Linked DNA regions of Yarrowia lipolytica. The protein of the gene in region 2 interacts with the protein of the main gene of each other region in a pairwise test. Links are inferred from orthologs where the notes say so. Each region holds a gene or a part of one and is shown on either strand. Other genes may lie near its edges.

Region 1 (7,925 bases), on a different chromosome or scaffold from region 2:
TCTGCACAATGTCCTTAGAACACTTTTTCGCCCGCTCCCGATCAACGTCGTATTTGGACACTTGATTGGGCACCACCTTGGCCAGCAGTTTAGTCAGCCGATGCGCCTGCGCGTTCACGGGCTTGGCAGACGCAGAAGGAGCCGGCTCGCTGTTATTTTTCACCTCCTGCAACCGAGCCTGCTCAATGATGCGCTGGAGATCACTCTCGCGCTGTGACTGCAAAGAAAGCGGCTCTCGGGTCTCGGAATTGTCCCGTCTCTCGTCTCGACGGTTGCCACGGGGACCCTTGGGGCCCTTGGGGCCCTTGGGGGTCGAGGGTGAGCTCGCACGTGACGCCTTGGGGAAATCCCACTGTTGGATGTTCAGCTCGAGATTGTAGTAGTACACCTTGCCCTGCGGGTCGTTCGCAAACTGCCAGCCCTTAGGCAGGCTCCTTGGAGGCACCATGGGTGATGCAGGCTGCTTGACGGCCTTCTTGGGGCCCTTGGGGGCTGTTTTGTTAGAGTAGGGGGTGGGGATGAAGGTGAAGGGGGATTCCGAGCGGGTGGACGGCGAATCAGTAACGCCGTTTCCGTTGTTATCTGCTTTTTTGTTCACCTTGACAACTTCCACATCATTGGGCTCCTCAGACTTGGAGCTCTCCTTGGTGACCTCCTCGCTGGTACCTCTAGAGACCGAATGCTCGTCTCCGTCGGGATCAATTTTTCGTCGTGGGATTCGGAAAGCCATTTTCAGGTTTGCCCATTCAGACAAGAGCTCCTGGGCAATGGTGGCAATGTCACTGTTGTCGTTGGACGTCAGGCTCTTGACCACGTTTTCAATCTGCGAACTGGAGATTTTGTTCTTTGTGATTCGCGGCCACTTTTGCAGGACTCGCAGCAGCATCAGCGTCACGTTCACGCGGTCGCTGTCGTCCAGCCCAAGAGGATTGTCGCCCCACGTGGCGGTCAGAATCTGCGCGAAGATCTGGTATCCATGCATCTTCATGACTGCTGCCTGGACGGACGTGTCTGTGCACAGAGCAATACGCTGCAGCATGAGGTTGACCTGCCAGGCTTCCTGGTTCATCATGAGAGACGCCATGACCTTGGACACGTCCTGCACGGTCAGGTCTCGGGGTCGCAAGTCCTCGGCCGACTTTTTGCCTCTCAGAATGGCGTTGATATCTCTGGACGTGAGACCCAGAGCAGCGGTCAAGGTGCCGGAGACCTTGCTGGCGCTTTCCGTCTGCGTTTTTCCGCCGAGAAAGCCGACACAGTTTTTCTCGCCGCAGTAGCACGCCTGGGCCTCGGCTCCGTACCGGTCCACGTTGTAGTCAAACGTGACCTCTTCTCCCCTTTGAATGTGTCGAGATGCGAAAATGCCCATTCTGAGCCGTTTGCCCACGACCCACTTTTCCACGTGGCCATTAGGCGCGCACGAATGGTTGCAGAACCGACCCAGTCCTCCCTTGGCGGTAGCGTCGATGAACTCGCCCTTTTGCAGCATCATAAAGTAGAAATGCTTGACGCCCTGGGTCGTGTAGATGGCCGTTCGCTCCTTGAAGGTCGGCTCGTCAATCACCTCGCCCACGTACTCGTAGACAAATTCGCCGGCGGCGATGTCCTTGGTGGCCCGCAGTCCAAACCCCTTCTTTTCTGTGCTGATCACGTCCACCGATGCGTATTTTTTGCCCTGGAACCGTTTGTTCTGACAGCCCTTGCAGCACCGAACACACTCGATGGAAGTGAGTCGGTTGATGCACCCGCTGTCCTCGTCACACGCCGTGGGCCCGGGCTTACAGTCACACGCCATGACTTCCGCCTGCTGAGACGAGCCCAGACCCTTCATGTACGTGCACTCCGGGAGCTCCACAAATGTCTGAAGCGCGTCCTTGGTCACGTCGCGAGCATCGGGGAACAGCTGCGCGTTTATTGGTGAGTTGTTGCCCGACATGTCGATGTTGAGAGGGCGCAGGTCGTGATGGTGGAGAGAAACGCCGCTGGGAGGTTGTGCATATGTCGACAGTAGCACCACCAGTACAGATTATTGTATGGAGGTGAGGACGTGATTGTGCACGTGAAACGACCCAACCAGAGTTTGGGGCAACATGACACACAGATATATATATGTATATATATAATGCTACTTATCAGCACTTTTTTCAGCTGCTTTTCTTGCCATTTTTTCAACCCCCCAGACATCACACGATAGGCAATCTGATGGTGGGATGAAAAATACACGCAAAACGCCGTACATGCGCGTAATCCTAATTACACCCATGGAGACCTGTACAAGTTTAGTACAAGAAGCTACCATTATCAATCCAAACACGTGACCTAGCCGGAGCCCATACAGTCCAAACACGTGACCCACCCCCCCCGGCTCCCCCCCCGCCCCTTCCCCCCCTTGGCTCGGGTCACGTGACCGCCGTCTTTTTCTTTCGTTTCTCGGTGTGATTGATTGGCTCGTTAATTTTTCGGATCAAAATTTTCCAACCGGAAATCGAACTGAGACACGGTTGTTGGAGTCAAGACGATGACAGAACTGCTTCTAATCTTAACAATCTAGTTGAGGAAGTTAGTTGAAATTACTGGGGATGAAAATTCAGCTGGGGGTTCATTTACGGGGTTGTAGAAACGGTGGAGACTAGGAAAGTTGCTGTGTGGATAGTCGATCAGCAACTTGATAAGTAATAATGACTTTTGAGAATCTCTACACCACAATAATCAGAGATATCTTCATTTCAGCGTCTCGTTGTTGAGTGTGATTAGTGGAAGAAAAGTAAGATTTAGTTGGTATGTACTAGATGGGTGTAGGATTTGTACTGCAAAGCAGAAATAGAGCAGAAATGGTCTCCTAGCACCCACATCTCTCTCACTTGTACTCGCCGCTTGTTAGTCGTCATAAAAAATACAATTAACATTCTATACATAATTTTTTGTTAGACCGTTCCAGTGAAAGCCACAGCTTGGCTTGCCACTCGGTGAGCCGACAGTGGGATCTACAGTAGTCGTCGTGCCAGCTTATTTCATGCAGTAAAATCGCTTGCCGCCCTTGTTCTCAGCCTTGCACTCCCACTCCAGAGTAATGTCCAGATCTCGGTTGTTCTTCTCGTTGGGTCGGCAGTCAATGGATCCAGTCACCTCGTCACCGGCTCGCAGAGACACCTGGCCGTCAATGTAGAAGACAGTCTGCTTCCAGTGAGTGTACTTGGCATGGGGGCCGGTGGAGAACTTGACGGGGGTGGTGAGCTTGTTGAACTCAATGTCGAACCAACACAGAATAGCGTGGGCAGTGTCGTTGACCCGGGCCTTGAGGTCAAAGTTGGCCTTGAAGGCCAGATCCTCCACCTTGACGGTGTACAGATCGATCTCAAACACCTGGCAGGGGTTGGAGATGACGTGTCGGAGGTCCACGGTGTCGACCAGAGGCTCGGACAGCACAATGTCCTTGAAGGGCGAGTAGTCAAAGCCGTAGACGTCGTCCCAGAAGGACACCTTTTCGTCCTTGTACTCGCCGTCCTCCAAAAGAGCGGCGTAGATGGTGGACTTGTCGGGCATGATAATACCTCCGGGGACCAGGTACTTGTCTCGGGCGTACAGCACCGTGTCCAGCATGGATTCGTAGAGCAGGAAGTAGCCCATCCACTCGGAGATGATAATGTCCACCTTCTGGTAGGGTAGGGTGATCTCCTCCATCTTGCCCTGGATCAGGGTAATCTTGTCGCTGAGTCCGTTAAGATCGACAATCTTTCGGGCCATCTCGATGATGTTGGACATGTCCACGCCCATGACATGCTTGGCACCGGCCTGCGCAGCAAACATGGACAGAATGCCGGTTCCACAGCCCACATCCAGCACAATCTTGTCCTTGAACAGGTCTCGGTTTCGCAGAATTGCGTGCTTGTACGACAGAGTTCGCGACTCGTCCTTGAGCATCTCCTCATGGATGCCAAAGTGGTCGTACGACGAAAAGTAGTGCTGCTCGGAGTATGGGAGGGACATTGTGGGTGTGCGGTAAGAGGTCGGGTCAACAATGGTGGTGAGAAGAAGAAAGCTTCTTTATAAAAATTTCCCAGCTATGCACGATAACTTTATCGACCAACCATGCAGGTGGGTCAGAGACCGAAAGAGGGTGTTGCGGCTTGAAAATGACGGTTTTTGTTTGTGGAATCAATTTCTACGGCTTCAAAAACCACAACGAAATATCCGTGGTCCAAATCTGACCACCATAACCCCCTCCTGACCGTGCTGTTTAGCTCAAACCATGGGATATTTTTCACAACACTCGCATGAACCCTGTAGGAGTCGAGAATGACGAATATCGCGAATTTGGTGGTGGAACAAACGGCAAGAAATTGATTGTTGATCGACAGACTGGTGGTTGGGGAATCACCTCTCGTGCTGATTAACCCGTATCAATTACGGGTGTTTATTATGAGATTTCCTCATCTCCTTCTTTATACTGTGAAGTTTGTCGTAGCGGTAATGTGACATTGATGGTTATCGTGGACCAGTGTACGGACAGGTTATGACCAGGTAAGGGGAAACAGGTATTTCCGATGGACTTGATGGTGAGTTCTCCTAGTTTATACCTTCAAAAAAGGTATCCTTTTTGGTGACAGCATCTCTTGGAGCTACAGTTTCACCTATGACCATTAATGAACTCATACCGACTGAGGAGTCGGCCCGTACCAAACCCGAACTCGACCCGACTCGACTCGACTCGGCTCGATAGTCACCCTTCCCTACCTGCAACTTGTTTCAGCCTTACTATCGCCGGCAATTCTCCTTCGGGTCTCTCGTCGGTATCCAGTCAGTTCAATGACTGTTAGGCCAGTTGAGTCTCGCTCGTTGCTCTTTCAGCCCATGGCGTAGTATTCGCTCAATGCTCCCCGGAATTGATCTAGGCCGTAGCTCGAATAGCGCCCACAACGGCCGGTAAGGCACAGGCTGGTTTACCGAACAGCCACCAACACTACTCGTAGCGTAAACCGGCATATACCTGGCGGAGTCAACAGTCGACAGTCGACAGTCGAATGGTAACCAGCTTGGTAGCCAATCAGCCAATCAAAGCAGTCTAGACGGGACTCTCTGCCAAGAGACAGCTGCTACAATGGTCCCATTCTTACCAGATCATGCTTCAAGCCATTGTTGATGCTGGAGGTTAGTTGTTCCGCGCCGTATCCAACCCCAACCAAAGTGAGACTAGACTACAACGCCATTCTGGACTCAACAGAGTCCGACGGCGACCAGAATATTTTGCGATTCGCGAACCGTCAATGGATGACTAAGACGTACAGTTTTAGTCATGTATTATTCCCATGGGGAAGAGTCCTGTTGGCAATGAAGTCCAATTGAGAATGTAGTCCAATGAATAAGCTACTTGTAGTCAAAAAAAAAGAGAAAAAAAAAAAAGAAAGTCCAAAATGAAATAAAAGTCCAAAATCATATTAATGATATTAATGATATTAATGATATTATATTCTTTGAAAGTGTCCAAAAATGGTAAACACCTGCCACGTGACCCAACAAACGACGACCCAAACCCACGTCACGTGACCCCACTGCACCATAGGACCAGGTCAGCCCGACGCTCAACCATCCATCCCGCTAGTGCGATAGAATATGCCTCGAAATATCCGCCCTGTGGCTCAGTCACAGCACGTGATTTGTGCGTCTAGTTTTTCCTGAACCCTATCCGTCTCCCACGGTCGCTTGACCAAAGGCAAAAAAATACCTTGTTGTTTGCTCGACTTTTGGTCACAATTTTTTGGTAGAAACTTGTAGCTGATTATACTGTCTCTCTCCACATGCCCTATATATCTCCTTCCCCGTGCGCCAAGAGGCTCTTGGGCTTGTCGACTAGAGGGGGATTTAGACTCCTGCGGGGAAACGGAACAACTTTCATCCAATAAAATTCAACTCCGCGGGACATTACACCAGGGCTATTCAGCACAGTTTGAGAACGATCCAGCGGACACCAGAAAACACGCGTAAGCGCTTCCACAGAGGCCTTTTCAACCACCGTCTCATCGCTTCATCGGCCCCGGCCCCCCCCCCGACCTACTCATTTTCTCTCTCACGTGACCCATGTCCTTCTACCCCATACTGCGAGGTCCGGCCAAACAGGAGAGTCCACCTCCTCCTCCGGCTCCTAAAAAGCGGCGAAAGACCGCTCGGGCCTGTCTGCATTGCCAGAAGGCCCATCTGACCTGTGACGAGGGCCGCCCGTGCGCTCGCTGCATCAAGAAAAACATGGGAGACCAGTGCGTGGACGGCAAGCGGAAACAGGCAAAGTACTTGGTGGGACTCCCTCCGACGCCTCCAGGACAAGCGACGCAACAGAAACAGCAGCAACAGCAACAGCAACAGCAGGCGGTGCAGCATGGAATGGGCCCTCCGGACACGGACTTCGGCTCGTCTGCCGCCAACTTGGAATACTCCATCTTGTCCAACATTCTGGGTCGCGGAGACACGTCTTCACCTCCAGACTTCTTTCCCGCCCAAAGTCCCCATATGCCGTCTCCCATGTCGATTCCGGGTCTTCACATGGAGGAAGAAGGCAGCCAAACTGCGGGAACGCCCCAGGGATCGCCGACAGACATCTACACCAGTATAACAAAGCCCTATGCGTACACAACGGGGTTCCATGCGCTGATTGCGTATCTCAAAAGCCGGTTCGAGAAAAAGGAGCTACTGGACGTGGTCAAAAGCATGGCCTTCTACCGGCCGTCGTTCATAGCCACCACCCAGACCCTGCAGTACGAAGATCTTGTGTTCATGGAAAAGTGCTTCCAACGCACGCTGCTGGAGTTTGAAAAGTACATTTCGTTAAGTGGAACGCCCACGGTGCTCTGGAGACGAACCGGCCAGATAGCTGCCGTTGGAAAGGAGTTTTGTGTGCTGACGATGCGATCGCAGGCAGATTTGCTGAGTCAGTTCATCATCGAGTGCATGGACAACAAGTCTGTGGTACAGTACTTTGACGTCTTCTCCGAGCTGGCGTTTGGAGACAGCAGAGGCACGATTACCACCACGTTTGGCCTCACCAAACCCTCAGGCGAGGTGGTCAACACGGCGTGTTCGCTGACCATCAAACGAGACGTGTTTGACATTCCCATGATGATTGTCGGCAACTTTCTGCCTATTCTGTAGGCGCCATGTAATTATTTATTCTGAACGAAAACAAGAGAGCAATTACTTGTATAACTAACACTTTGTAGATATTACCTGAATATGAATGATATAGATTACGAGTATTTACCTATCCCTACAACCGCATGAGCCGCTCTTCATCATCCTCACCGTCAATGTCAATAATGCCCCTCTCCTCAACCCGTCGCTCCTGAACATCTCCTCTAGACACGTACTTGACGCGCTTCAACTTGGAGTCAGCCATGGCCGGGTTCCACACGTTCTGCGAGTTCAGCTCCGCCACCTCTTGCTTTTCAGACTTGATCTTGGACTCAAGTTCTCTCAACTCCTCGTCATCTGTGCTATCGTCCTCCATTTCCTGCTCTCGGATCTTGCCATCCAGACCCAGCGAAATGACATGCTTCTTGCCCTTTTTCCGAGCGTCTCGTTCCTCCATCTTGGCCATTTGCCGCTGCTGCTTCTTGAGCTGCAACGCCCTCTCTGTCGCCGAAGCCCACTGGTTGACACCTGCCGAGGGCAGTTCAAAGTCGCCCACGTTGTCGATGATCCGGGTTCTCTCCGCCTGACTGTCCTGGAACGCCATCAGGGTGTCAAGCCGCTCCTTGGCCTGCTGAAGCTCCTTCTCCTTGGCCTCCTGCGCCTGCCGGTTCTCCTCCTCCATCTGTTTGATGGCCTCTTCCTGCGCAGCCCGCCCCCCAGCATTAGATAAGTTGTACTTGATGGCCTTTTGTTTCTTTTTGGGCACCGCCTGTTTGGGGGCGTTCACAGACCGAATGTCCTCCTTT
Region 2 (12,035 bases):
CCACTCGGCTTCTCCACCCTTGGCAACACCTGCCTTGAAGACGGTAGCCATAATGTTGGGATTGATTCGAGTGGTGGGGGTCTCAATGTAGGAGTCAAACAGACCCTTGGCGTAGCCGGTCACAGCAGGATGCTCAGAGGAGACAGCAAAGGCGAAGAGCAGAGCCTTCACCTGCTGCACAATCTCGTCCTCATCTTCGGGCCAGGAAGTGAGATCAAAGGGAGCGGCCGAAAGCACAAACAGACGCAGATTTCGCAGTTTCACGAGCGTAGACTTGTCAGCAAACCGCAGCAGCGCGTCGAGCTCACCAAAGGCCCCGGCAATCATCTCCCACACAATCAGCGAATCGTTGCCCTTGATGGAAGACAACAACTTGAGGAGATCAGTGGTAGGCGCCAAACCGCAGGAAGAGAATGCAGTCATGTCATCCACGAGGCCTGCCCGATCAAAAGACGAAAGATGAACGGAGTCAACGAGTAGCGCAACAAGGGCAGAGGGGTAAAGAGTTCGGTACGTACCAACCTGGTGGGCATTGAGCTTGAATACAAAGGGGGTCTTGATTGTGGAGGTTCTGTCACGTAGCTCGAGACTCTTGTCGATCTTACCAGTTGAAGCGTCCAGTAGCTCCAAAAGCACAGGATAGAGAGTGTCTTCTTCGGGAGTCACATCATTGGAAGACAGGAACCGATGCTGGGTCACCTTGGTCTCGCCATCTCCATTCTCAACTTTTACGTAAGGGTAACCAACCTTCTTGGTCCAGGTGGTCATGATCGAAACCACGTCTTTGCCAGAAGTGGAAGCAAGAGCGTCCCACAGATCGGTGGTCACTGTGCATCCATAGGCGTGATCCTTGAGGTACTTGGAGACGCCCTTAAGGAAGACATCTAGACCGAGGTAGTCAGAGATCATCCGCAGGACAGAACCTCCCTTGGAATAAGAGATGGCATCAAAGATCTGCGGCAGCTCCTTGGCAGTTCGAACATTGACCTCAATGGGATGAGACGATCGCAGACAGTCGAGATCGAGAGCTCTGACGACATTGGCGGTGTAGAAGCCCTCCCAGATGTTCCACTGGGGAAAGAAATGATCCATCGCAAGGTACGACATCCAGGTGGCAAAGCCCTCCTTGAGCCACAGACCCTCCCACCAATCCATGGTGACAAGATTGCCAAACCACTGATGGGCCAGCTCGTGCATGACAATCTCAGCACAGTGCTGCTTCTGAGACAGAGAACAGGTTTCAGCGTCGTAGAGCAATGCTGCATCTCTGAAAGTGATCAGACCCCAGTTCTCCATCGCTCCAATGGCAAAATCGGGAATGCCAATGAGATCAATCTTTTCGACAGGCACATCAATGCCAAAGATCTTCTCAAAGTATGTGAGCGTCTTGGCTCCGTATTCGGCGGCAAACTTGCCCTTGTGTGCCTTGCCAGGAGTGGCGTAGACTCGCACAGGAAGTCTGTAGTTGGTAGTGTCCTCGACGTAGTCGAGCTCACCCACCACAAACGCCACGAGGTAGGTGCTCATGAGCGGAGTGGGTTTGAACGTCACTTTCTTTTTTTGGCCGCCATCATGGGGCTCCTCGTTTCGCACAGCCATGTTGGAGAGACACGTGAGATTCTTGTCTGCAATTAGGGTGATGTTAAAAACCGCCTTGAGTGCAGGCTCATCGAAACAGGGGAATGCTCGTCGGCAAGAAGCAGGCTCCATGTGGGTAGTGGCGAGGTATTTTTTGTTTCCCGCCTCATCCGTGTATGTGCTCTTGTAGAAACCGTTGAGCAGGTCGTTGAGAATGCCGACAAATGTGATTTTGACCTTGACCTCGTCGAGATCAATAATCTTGGGGAACTTAAACGTGACCGTTTCGGCATCTTTGTCGTAGGTGACGGTCGCCTCTCCAATTTCTTCAATGGCAACTCGGGAGATCTCCTGATCAATCGAGTTGACAGTGAGGGTGTCGGTGGGAGTGTTAACTTCGAGAGAAATGTCGCATTGGCCATTGTACTTGAAGGTGGTAAAGTCAGGCTCCAGAGTCAGGTGGTAGAACTTGGGCGTGAAGTCTGTGGGTAGGAGCACCCGGGACGTAGAAGAGGGGCTGTGTTAGCGCTCATTGACCGATTCATCCCAAAGCTGGAGACGGAAGATTGGCTTAACGGAGTTGGAGACACAAGATCGAGTAGCTACCACTGGTCCCATAACAGAAGCAGAATACCGCTGAATCGATTCAGACAGAAAAGAAGAAACAGCAGTAGCTTGTGGTAGTGCCTTAGTCCCTCTGATCTGGTGGCAGAGAGTGATTCAATTCTCTCTCTCTCTCTCTCTCTCTCTCTCTCTCTCTCTCTCTCTCTCTCTCTCTCTCTGTATGTCACTGGCCAACTTATTTCTGCCCTGCCAACGTCAGACCGCTCATTCCTGCCAATTGTACTCACTCAGATCCACACATGTTGTCAGTAGGCGGTATGGTGCTGATGGCAAGTTTCGTGGTACACAGGTAAACGTGTTGGGCTTTGGTGTCCTTCATATATGCACCCCGGAATGCCGTTCCATGCAGGCAGAGCTTGACCGGAGTCCATGAGACAATGATAAGAGGATGGAGTGGAGCACTGAGTCAGCGGTAGAAGATACGAAAATACGGGCGGTAAAAATAAACACGACGTGCAGGTAACTCTGGATCCCTTTTCCCTGGAATGAGATTATGAGCTTTGTCGGGTGACTGAGCTCTATCAAGTCACCAATTCATCTCAACTAATTTCCTACTATTAAAAATAAAATCTTCTTGATTTCAGTTAGATCAAAATATGGGCACTGCTTGGGTTTACTTAGCTTAAAAAATTGCCCAGGCTAGTCTGACAAAAGATATTTTTGAGTGAAAGATGACGCCTGATAACCTCCTCCCTTATCCCCGAAGATGCCTCAAGGCACTCTGGCACCCTGGCACACTTCACGCTCCTCTCCGCTTGATGTTCATCCTTACAGCTCACTCGGTGACGCTCACACAGACGAGTGTCAAACTCACATAGCTACGATGCATGCATAGCAGAACTACTGCTCAGGTCTACAGCAGAGTGGGTACTCACTACGGCTCCTGTCTTCAGTCCACAGCTCATAATCCTAATAATACATTCTCTATCACTCGTGTTTATAATCGTCACCCACTCCAAAGGACCCTCCCATGGTAGTGAAATCGCCCAAGTAGTTGTCAGTAAACTCGTCCAGATGCATATCCTCCTGGATACCGCCTCCGAGTTCGTGGTGCAAGTCGAACCGGGAGTCGAACCCGGGAGAGTTCATGTCGCCGAGGTGCATTCCGGGGGCGGGTGCAGCTGGCTGTTGCGGCTGCTGCTGTCCGTGGCCGTTGTGGAGATTCATCATGTCCATGGGGGGCAGATGCATCGCCTGAGAAGGTGCAGCTGGCTGGGCTTGCACGGGTTGAACAGCCTGGGGAGGAGGCTGCTGAACAGCCTGGGACACAACTTGGGGTGTAGGAGCAGGAGCAGGCACCTGTTGGGCTACCTGAGACACCTGCTGAGGAATCTGAGGCTGAGACACCTGCTGGGACTGTCCGGAAGACTGGCCCGACTGGCCAGAAGCAGACGAGGGGCCAGACTGTGTACCAGACTGAGTCTGGCCCTCCTCCTTCAGCGCCCTCGTACTTTCCACACCCTCCATTGTGCTGGCCTTGTCCAACAACGCGTTATGCAGCGCCACTGCATCCTCGTACACAAACGAGCCCTCCTCATTATATTGCTTCGCGTTGGCAAACATGAGGGCAAACTCCTCAAGAAACTGATCCAGGCTCTGGTAGTACGAGCTCTGGATTCGCTTCGAGATCTGGGCGCACGAAATCGGCTGCTTAATGAGAATGTAGTAGTCTGGGTAGTCCGTCTTGCTGGGTAGCTCCAAAAACAGATTGATTCGGGCCCGGCCAGTCGAGTCCTCCACATTCAACACGTGGTTGTACAGCGTCTTCATGATGCCCAGCAGCGCCTTTCGAGCCTCGGGGGTCAGTGTGTCCTTGGGTCTACCCCTTCCCCGAGCCTTCTTCTTGGGCTGCTCGTCCTCCACCTGCATCATCGGATCCTTGGTCTGCTTTCGAGACCGCTTTCGCTTGACTCCGGGAGAATCAAGGTCCTCCAGCTCGTCCAGGGGAGACGCAGTCGCAGCTGCAGCGGCCGCACCACTCTTCTTGGCCTGCCGTCGCTTGTTGTCGGCCCGCTTCTTGGCAATGGTCTCATCCATGTCAACGTCATTGTCGATAGCCTCGAGCCACTGCTCCTCGGTGAGTCCATCGTCGTAGTGCAAGACCTTTCGCTCTCGGGCTCCACGGCCAAATTGGTCTGTGTTGATGGGCTCCACAGCCAGCTTGATGTCCCGCTTATACGCCTCTGGCAGCTCCTCTTCAGTGAAAAGTCTTTCAATCTTGCCCTTGCCATACTGGGACGTGGCGTGTCGTTCCGCATCGAGCTGCGCAAACAAGATTCGCTCCTCGTCATTTCTAGCCAGAATCTCGTTGAGCTCCTCGTCGTCCACGTCATCGTCGCCCTTTTCCTTCTGCTTTTCCTCCCGCTCAAGCAGACCTCGCAGGAACGCCTCCTGCTCCTCTGCTGTCGACTTGTTATCAAACTTACCGGCCTGAATGACCTTGCCGTCGATATCCAGCTTCTTGTGCGCCCTCTCGAGAATATTTTCTTCAACAGAGTCTTCGGTGATAAGCCGCAGGATTCGCACTTCCTTTGTCTGACCGATTCGGTGCGCACGGTCCTGAGCCTGCAGATCCTGATGGGGGTTCCAGTCAGTGTCGTAGATGATGACTGTGTCGGCCGTCTGCAAGTTCAGACCAAGACCTCCGGCTCGAGTGGACAGCAGGAAGGCAAAGTAGGGCGAGTCGGGGGCATTAAACTTCCCAAGCAGACCGGATCGGTCCTCGGACTTTGTTCCACCATCAAGTCGAAGGTATTGCCAGCCCTTGAGCCGCATGAAATCTTCCATAATATCCATGATCTGCGTCATCTGGAAAAACATGAGAATACGGTGACCTGCAGCCTTGAACTTGGGCAGAATTCGGTCCAGGAGCTCGAATTTACCTGCAGTTCGCCACAGGTTATCGTTTGTCAGTCGGTTGGGGTTCACCAGATCTTCAACCTCCTCGAACACAAAGGGATGATTGCAAATCTTTCGTAGCTGCATGACCTGGTTGTTTAAACCCTTCAATCCGGTCTTTGTAGCACCCTGAACACCCTCACCAATAAACAAGACATTGTGTTTGATCATCTGCTGGTACAGCTTGGACTGTAGAGCGCTCATCTTGCACTTGAGCACCTTTTCCACCTTGTCAGGCAGATCCTTGGCCACATCCTTCTTGAGACGTCGCAGAAGGAATGGTCGGAGGACTTTATGGAGACGTTTGATGATCAGCAAAGTCTCTTCTTCGGAAAGATCCATCTTGTCCTGGCCACCAGTAGACGCAAAGGGGGTATTGAACCACTCGTCAAACGACTTGACCGAGTTGAAAATCTTGGGCAGCACAAAGTTGAGCAGGGCCCACAGCTCGGGAAGCGAGTTCTGGAGAGGAGTACCTGTCAGAATGAGTCGGTACCGGGTGTGGTAGTACTGAGTCAGGGTGGACGACAGCTTGGACTGCGCATTCTTCATTCGATGACCCTCATCAATAATCATGTGGACCCACTTGATTCGAGACAGCACAGGCCGGTCCTTGATGATGTACTCATAGGTCGTGAGCAGTACCTGGAAGTCTCCGGCTCGAATAGCGTTCTGCTGCGCCTTACGGGCCATGGGGGGGCCTTTATAGACGAGCTTTTTGATAGCAGGCGCCCACTTTTCGAACTCGAGCGTCCAGTTGGTGAGCGTGGAGAGTGGGACAATGACCAGGTAAGGTCCAGGAATCTTCTTGGTCTCAATGAGATAGGCAATGAGCGAAATCGTCTGGATTGTCTTTCCAAGACCCATCTCATCGGCCAAGATACCGTTCAGGTTGTTGTTGAATAGAGAGAGCATCCACTGAAGACCCTTGATCTGATATTCCTTAAGCTGACCACCCACAAGCATATCGGGCTGTTTGCTGACGGGTTCCTGGATTCGATGAGCAACCGCATAGTAGTCGGCCTTCTTCTGGTTGTCGGGATCCTCGTCATCCATATCTTGTTGAGGACCAAAGTCGACGTGATTGCCGTTGCTGTTGTTGCTCTTCTGCTGGTCCTTGACAGCCTGCGCAAGCGAGTCCAGGAACGTATTGGTCTGTCGCAGTAGATCTGTGATACGCGTGTCCTTGGTCTGGTCAAGCAGCTTGATGTAGGCTTCCTCGTCGTTGGCCCGCAGAGCCTGCAGTCGCTGCTTGGCGTTTCGCTCCATTCGCTTCTGCTCCTCACGCTCAGTGAACACGTGATAGTTCTGACATGCCTTGGCGACACGAGCCTGTCGTAGTCGTCTTGAACGAGATGCGTTGATTGTGTCCTGCGCGTGCTTGCAGATGTGGATGAGCTGCTCGGACCGCACTCGCACCTCGTGTCGCTGGCGCTCCATGAGCTGCTGCGTGCCAAACTGTTCGGTCATGAACGCTTCCTGGAGCGAAGTCTTCTTCATACGTGTGAAGTAGATCTTGTTGTAGGGATCCAGACCGACAGAGTTGAAGTAGAACGTGTCAGCAAGGAGATCGCCTCTCCAGGCCTTTTGGTGGTCGATTAACTGCAGTGATTTGAGCTCGATTGCGTTGTCTAGTGCTGTGGTGTCATCGGAACCAGTTGAGTCAGCAGACTCCTCGTCGACTTCCTCGTCAAGCTCTGGCACATCTAGATCACCTTCCTTGAGCTCAGTAATCCGATCACTAATCTGCTTGTTAACCTGCTCCTCGTACAGATCTTTGATCACCTCGGCGTCCATACCACGGGGCATAATTGATGGAATAAAGGTTCGACGCTTGTCCAGGAACGCGGGAGTGGTGATATCATCGAAAGAAAAGGTTCCCTCCAAAAGGAGACAGGGATCCTTGTAGCCAGAAATGGTTTCTGGAGCAGCTGGAGGAGGGGGAGGGACAGCGGGGGCTGCGATGGGAGTCACTCCGTCGATCTCCTGTTTGGACGATCGTCTCAGGCCAGTCTGAGAGGGAGTTCGTCGCTTGCCCATGCCAGGAGAGTTTGTATCGGAAGACACGGCCGGTGACTGCGACCGGTTGGCGTTCTGGAACATGGGGCTCTGAGGAATGCCAGCGGGCGACTGCATCTGCTGAGCCATCGGGGGTTGACCCATGGAAGGCTGCTGCATCGGGGGCTGCTGTTGTTGTTGCTGAGTCATCTGAGGTTGCTGCTGCTGCTGCGGAGGCTGCTGCTGGGGCTGAGTCATCTGAGGAGGCTGGCCAGTGGGTCTGAACAGCGCCTGAAGCACCTGAGGGGGAATGACAGCACCCTTGCTCAGCTGTCGGTACGCCATGAGCTGGTTCTTCATCTGCATGAGCATGTCAGGTGTGTATGGTGAGTTCTGTTGCTGTGGCTCCAGGTGGGGTGTGGGCGACTGCCGGGGCATGCCCTGGGCACCCACGACACCGGGCTGATTGTGGGGCGGAACGGGAGAGCCGTTCATACTCTGCATGCTGCTGTTGGAGTTCTGGTACATGCCTGCAGAGGAGGGTTTGCGCTGTTGCTGGGGCTGCTGGGGTTGGCCAGGCGAGGGGAATTGAGGAGTGCCCATCTGGGGCGTCATGTTGCCCTGGGGTGTGCCCTGCTGCATCTGCTGCGGCTGGCCCATGGCCTTCATCCGGTGCTGCTGCTGTTGCTGCTGCTGTTGCTGCTGGCGGAACATATGCTGGCGTTGCGAGTACGCTTTGAGAATTTTGGAGAGCTCGACGAACTCTTGGGAAGAGCTGGCGTTGGCTCCGAGACGGGTCTGGAGTTCTTTGTAGCGCTGGGTTAGTAGAGGAACGAGTAGTCATACGTCACGAGAAGACCATTGAGTGAGGCAGTCACGGTGGAAAACGACGATATGACGTCGGACATCATCTGTAGACTATAGACACGACTGGTGTGTCAACAACGCCTACGACAACGGTGCCTTTAGCTGCTGAAAACACAGAGATATTTGGTAGTGCCAATGAATCATCACGTCGATGATCATGCCTGTGCCATCATTGACGACGTCGACGACACCCGTGAACAACAGTCCTTGACACGTCAACGCGGCACCGTCATTGTTGTGATGACATCGTTGCACCGAACATGATGCATCGACATCCATGATCACTATAACAGCTATAGTCGCGTCGTTGGTTATAATTGTCAACGTCATCATCGTCTCTCGAGGTGTGTCTGAGATCGCGTCTGGAAGTGCCCGTCGTGGGTAACTCATCATCATCGATGATGTGTCGACGACGTCAGTGGGATCGATATACTGCTGACATCATTCACACGCGATAGATTAAGGTCGTCCATCACGTCGTCCACGTGCATCTTTCTGTCCAGTTTCATCATGTCCCATCGTGCACTTGACGAGACTGATAGCGTTGACGTTATCGCGTACTGAGAGACTGGCAACTTCGCTGCTCGCCCTGCTCGCTTGGCTCGCTCTGCCCGCGCTGCTCATACTCACCGCATAAATCCTGTTCATATCCTCCATATTTCGCGGCGGCTGCACCGCCATATCCATCATCGGAGTTCCCGGACCCTGCCTGTTGCCAAAGCTAGGCGATGGCGTAGCCAGATCGCTCTGCGCGTCCATCTGGCCCATGCCCGAGTCCATCATTCCGTCCATGAATCCCTGGGGACCCATGCCCATGTCGCTTTGCATGTTGGGGTATGAGTTCACTGTGTTAGACGAGGTCGTCCTGTCGTGGAGCGTGTTGCGTGTGCTGCGTGCTGCTACTCACTAACGCGTGTCACGTGATGTGCTGAGCGCTCGAAATGCTTTCCGGCTTGTCACTCTTTGTAACCTCGGTAGCTATGCTGTGTGGAGCGTAGTGCGTGGATGGGGGGGGAGCGGGCGCACCAGAGGGTTGGGGATTCAGTCTTTTGCGCCGGCGGACGACTCCCTAGTGTGGCAAACTACGTATTGGGTAAGCAGGGCGCAGGGTACACTTCCCGAACTGGGGGTGTGGAGGTCCAGCCAATGGGAGGCCGTTGGGACAACGACGTGTTGTAGCGACCCACCCAGCGACAACTAACGTGTCTCTTTTGCAGGCCAAAGAGGGGACTACCAACCGGTATTTTTGCCTCTGCCCAATTTAGCCAAAGATAAGATAAAACCTGGCTTCTGTCTCTTCATGTGAGTGTGGATTCTTGTCCTTGTGTTTTGCTTTTTTTTAGAGTTAGGAGCTGTGGCGAGCGCATGACGACGAGAAAACGCACCCTACGATGGGGACCGGGTTGCCTGTTGGGGTGGCGCCAGTGTCCCTGTCCTTGTGTCTGTGTGGTCGTCTCCCGCGAGTATGTATATGAGTCCAGCTCGCTGTTGTTTCCCGCCTTGTGTTTCCCACGAGTCTTCTCAGTTCTACCTTTGTCCGGCCTATCATTTTAAGGTGCTGCCAAAAAGCCCCATAAACTCTCACGGGTGTCAGGGTGGGTATTCCCTGGGGAAGGGGTGGTGTGAGGGCAAATGTCGATGCTGTGGGCGGCATAGGGGTCGCCTGGGGACAAAAAGTAGAGCGGAATAGCCAGCGCGCCACGACGGTTCGAATGGTACCGCTCATGTGGCAATATCTCGCTCCCCCAGCTTTTCGGATCCTCCGTAAATCACGCGATGTGTGCATGCAGTTTGGAGCAAGCGCTACAGCACCTCACACTTATGGACGAGGCGAATAGCTGAGAGCGGTATGAGTAGGGGGAAGAGGGGCGGGAGAGGAGCGGGCGGAAGTCCGAACAGAGGGCGTTGGTAAGAGTGGAAGCCCCAACTGGACTGCTCTTTTGTTTCTTGTTTTGTCGTTGTTTTGTACTCGTCATGGTCATCTCTTCTTTTTTTTTGACCATCTTGTTTTTTCCATCGACTTTTTCTACTCGCTCGTACTGTATGCCAACGTTGCCGCTTGCTTCACCCTCCATCTCTCCTAAGCTTGGGGATACAGAGGGGGACTATGTAAGGTCAACAACAGCAGGGTGTTGCAGAGACACCATACAGTATGTACCAGTAAACTTGTATACCAAGCGACAAGGCGGTGGAGTGGGGTGGAAGGTGTCTTGATACCGGTACCGTACCGTGTTCAAGGCCGGATTGAGCGACTTGGTGTCGTCAGAAAGTCGCCGTATTCTCTTGTAAACGCTCATTTCCGCTCCCCATTTCCGACTCCAAATCCGCACAAAGACCAGCCTCGGTCGCCTCGCATCTCCCGGCCTAAGGCATGTATTTTCGCAGCTTTCGATCTATGGTAGATCCGAGCTAAAGGTGCACAGAGTTGTGTGGATGAGGCAACAGCCAGACCGATGCACAAGTGTGTGGAGAGCGGTTGGGCCGCGTGGGTGTGTTTCCAATAGTCTATGGCACGTTGGGGCCCGTCTTAGTCCCCTTTTCAATCGGCCTTTTTCAGCTCAAACTTGCGACAAGTACTAACACTTGTACGCCATCACCTCTGTATAGCCTTAACTCTAACCAAGGTGGACACGATAAATGGGGGACATATGACGAAGTAGAATTCTGGAAACAGGGTCCGATTGCGACCAACGGGACGTCAAAATGACCACGTGACCGAGAGGAGATCGGTTATGCCGCCTATTTCGCCGCAGCTGGTCCGTACAACTAGCCATATGGTCCCCCAACACCTCCCCCCTCAAACTAACTCTGACACAATGCAGACTATGGCAACTTACTCTTAATTTGCAAACCGTCATTTTCGACTTTTGGGCGGGGTCTTCAAATCAGTTTGAAGACGAGATACCGCAATTCTGAAGAGACAGATGAGCTTGAAATGGCGCGAATGCCAAGAAAATGTGTTTTTGTTACGTCGATATCCGCCCATTTCACAAAACTCGGAGCCTTTCTCTGCGACACGCGCGCGAGGTGTGAGGTGAGAAACCACACGTCTGGCCTATGAGCACATATTGCCAACTGGCATGGAAAAAGATAGCCCTTAAAGGAAGAGGAAGCCCCGTTCATCATCTTCATCCTCTCCACTCTTCTCCCACTCCAATACTTTTCATTCCATAGCAACTCCTTCGCTCCCCCGTCCCCCCAAATATCCTACAATTACACTCTGTCCCTGAGACAATGAGACATGGTCAGAGGTTGGTCCAGGAGGGTCATGTGTGGTCACATTTGTCTACAAGTACACACTTGAGACCTCCTCAGTTGCTCTATATAACTCACTAGCTCCGATGTTACTAATCTTACTAATCCCACAACTCCAATGGCATTTTACAACACTGCCTAAAGTGGGCCCGAATACGGACATGGTGCATCGTCCCATCAAAGCAGCCTTCGGACCTCCGCCAGAAGAGGTAGAATGCAGGTTTTCAGTTGCTTATGAAGTGCTAGGATAATTGGTCGAAAACTGGCAGAATAAGAACAGAAAAAGCTCCATCCGGTGCAGATCTCCACGAGGACCACGACACTGCGCTTAGAATTGCAATCGCATGTCTGGCTGTGGAGTTAGGTGGAGTTAGGGCGGAGTTTGATAGAAAAAGCCGGATTCAGGTCCAGAAGAAAGGGCACAATTTGCATGGACGTATCGTCTACCGCTCCAATAAGACGGCATGTAGCTGTCCATTCTAGACCTTTGGTCTTTCGTTCACAGGTTTACACATTCCACGGTCCACGCTCCGCTCTTATCCGACCAGCTAAAATAAGCTCCAAAAATTATCGCCAATGCGAGGCCCAAGATTACAGACGCTTTCCAAGCAGAGATATTAGTAAGAGGAGAAAGTTAGGCGGGGAGGCCAGGTCACATGACCACCACTCGGGTCTTAGATAATCAGCTACAGCAACACTTCACGACCAAAATTAGTCAGCAGAACCACGTTTTGGATCCCCCTTTTCTGCCGTTCCATGTCTCACTCTTACATACTGTGCCAGAGTTGCTCGAATAAGCGATTACGATTACCGTT

Evidence for each region. The genes of interacting proteins can lie anywhere in the genome.
Region 1: the proteins of YALI1_D30097g (region 2) and YALI1_E21983g interact in binary tests that used the Saccharomyces cerevisiae proteins (3 or more experiments, as listed by UniProt). The link is inferred for Yarrowia lipolytica from reciprocal best matches to the Saccharomyces cerevisiae genes SNF2 and HMT1.

What each region holds. Positions count from the first base shown.
Region 1 is NC_090774.1:2,194,331-2,202,255, forward strand, and holds YALI1_E21983g (uncharacterized protein), read right to left. Parts: upstream 3,988-7,925; coding exon 3,007-3,987; downstream 1-3,006. Other genes in the region: YALI1_E21962g (uncharacterized protein), read right to left, coding at 1-1,936; YALI1_E22004g (uncharacterized protein), read left to right, coding at 6,076-7,140; YALI1_E22029g (uncharacterized protein), read right to left, coding at 7,256-7,925. UniProt on the Saccharomyces cerevisiae protein: S-adenosyl-L-methionine-dependent protein-arginine N-methyltransferase that catalyzes both the mono- and asymmetric (type I) dimethylation of the guanidino nitrogens of arginine residues in a variety of RNA-binding proteins such as heterogeneous nuclear ribonucleoproteins (hnRNPs) and small nuclear ribonucleoproteins (snRNPs).
Region 2 is NC_090773.1:3,006,451-3,018,485, reverse strand, and holds YALI1_D30097g (uncharacterized protein), read right to left. Parts: upstream 8,794-12,035; coding exon 8,596-8,793; intron 7,915-8,595; coding exon 3,130-7,914; downstream 1-3,129. Other genes in the region: YALI1_D30161g (uncharacterized protein), read right to left, coding at 1-2,095, 2,430-2,443. UniProt on the Saccharomyces cerevisiae protein: Involved in transcriptional activation. Catalytic component of the SWI/SNF complex, an ATP-dependent chromatin-remodeling complex, which is required for the positive and negative regulation of gene expression of a large number of genes.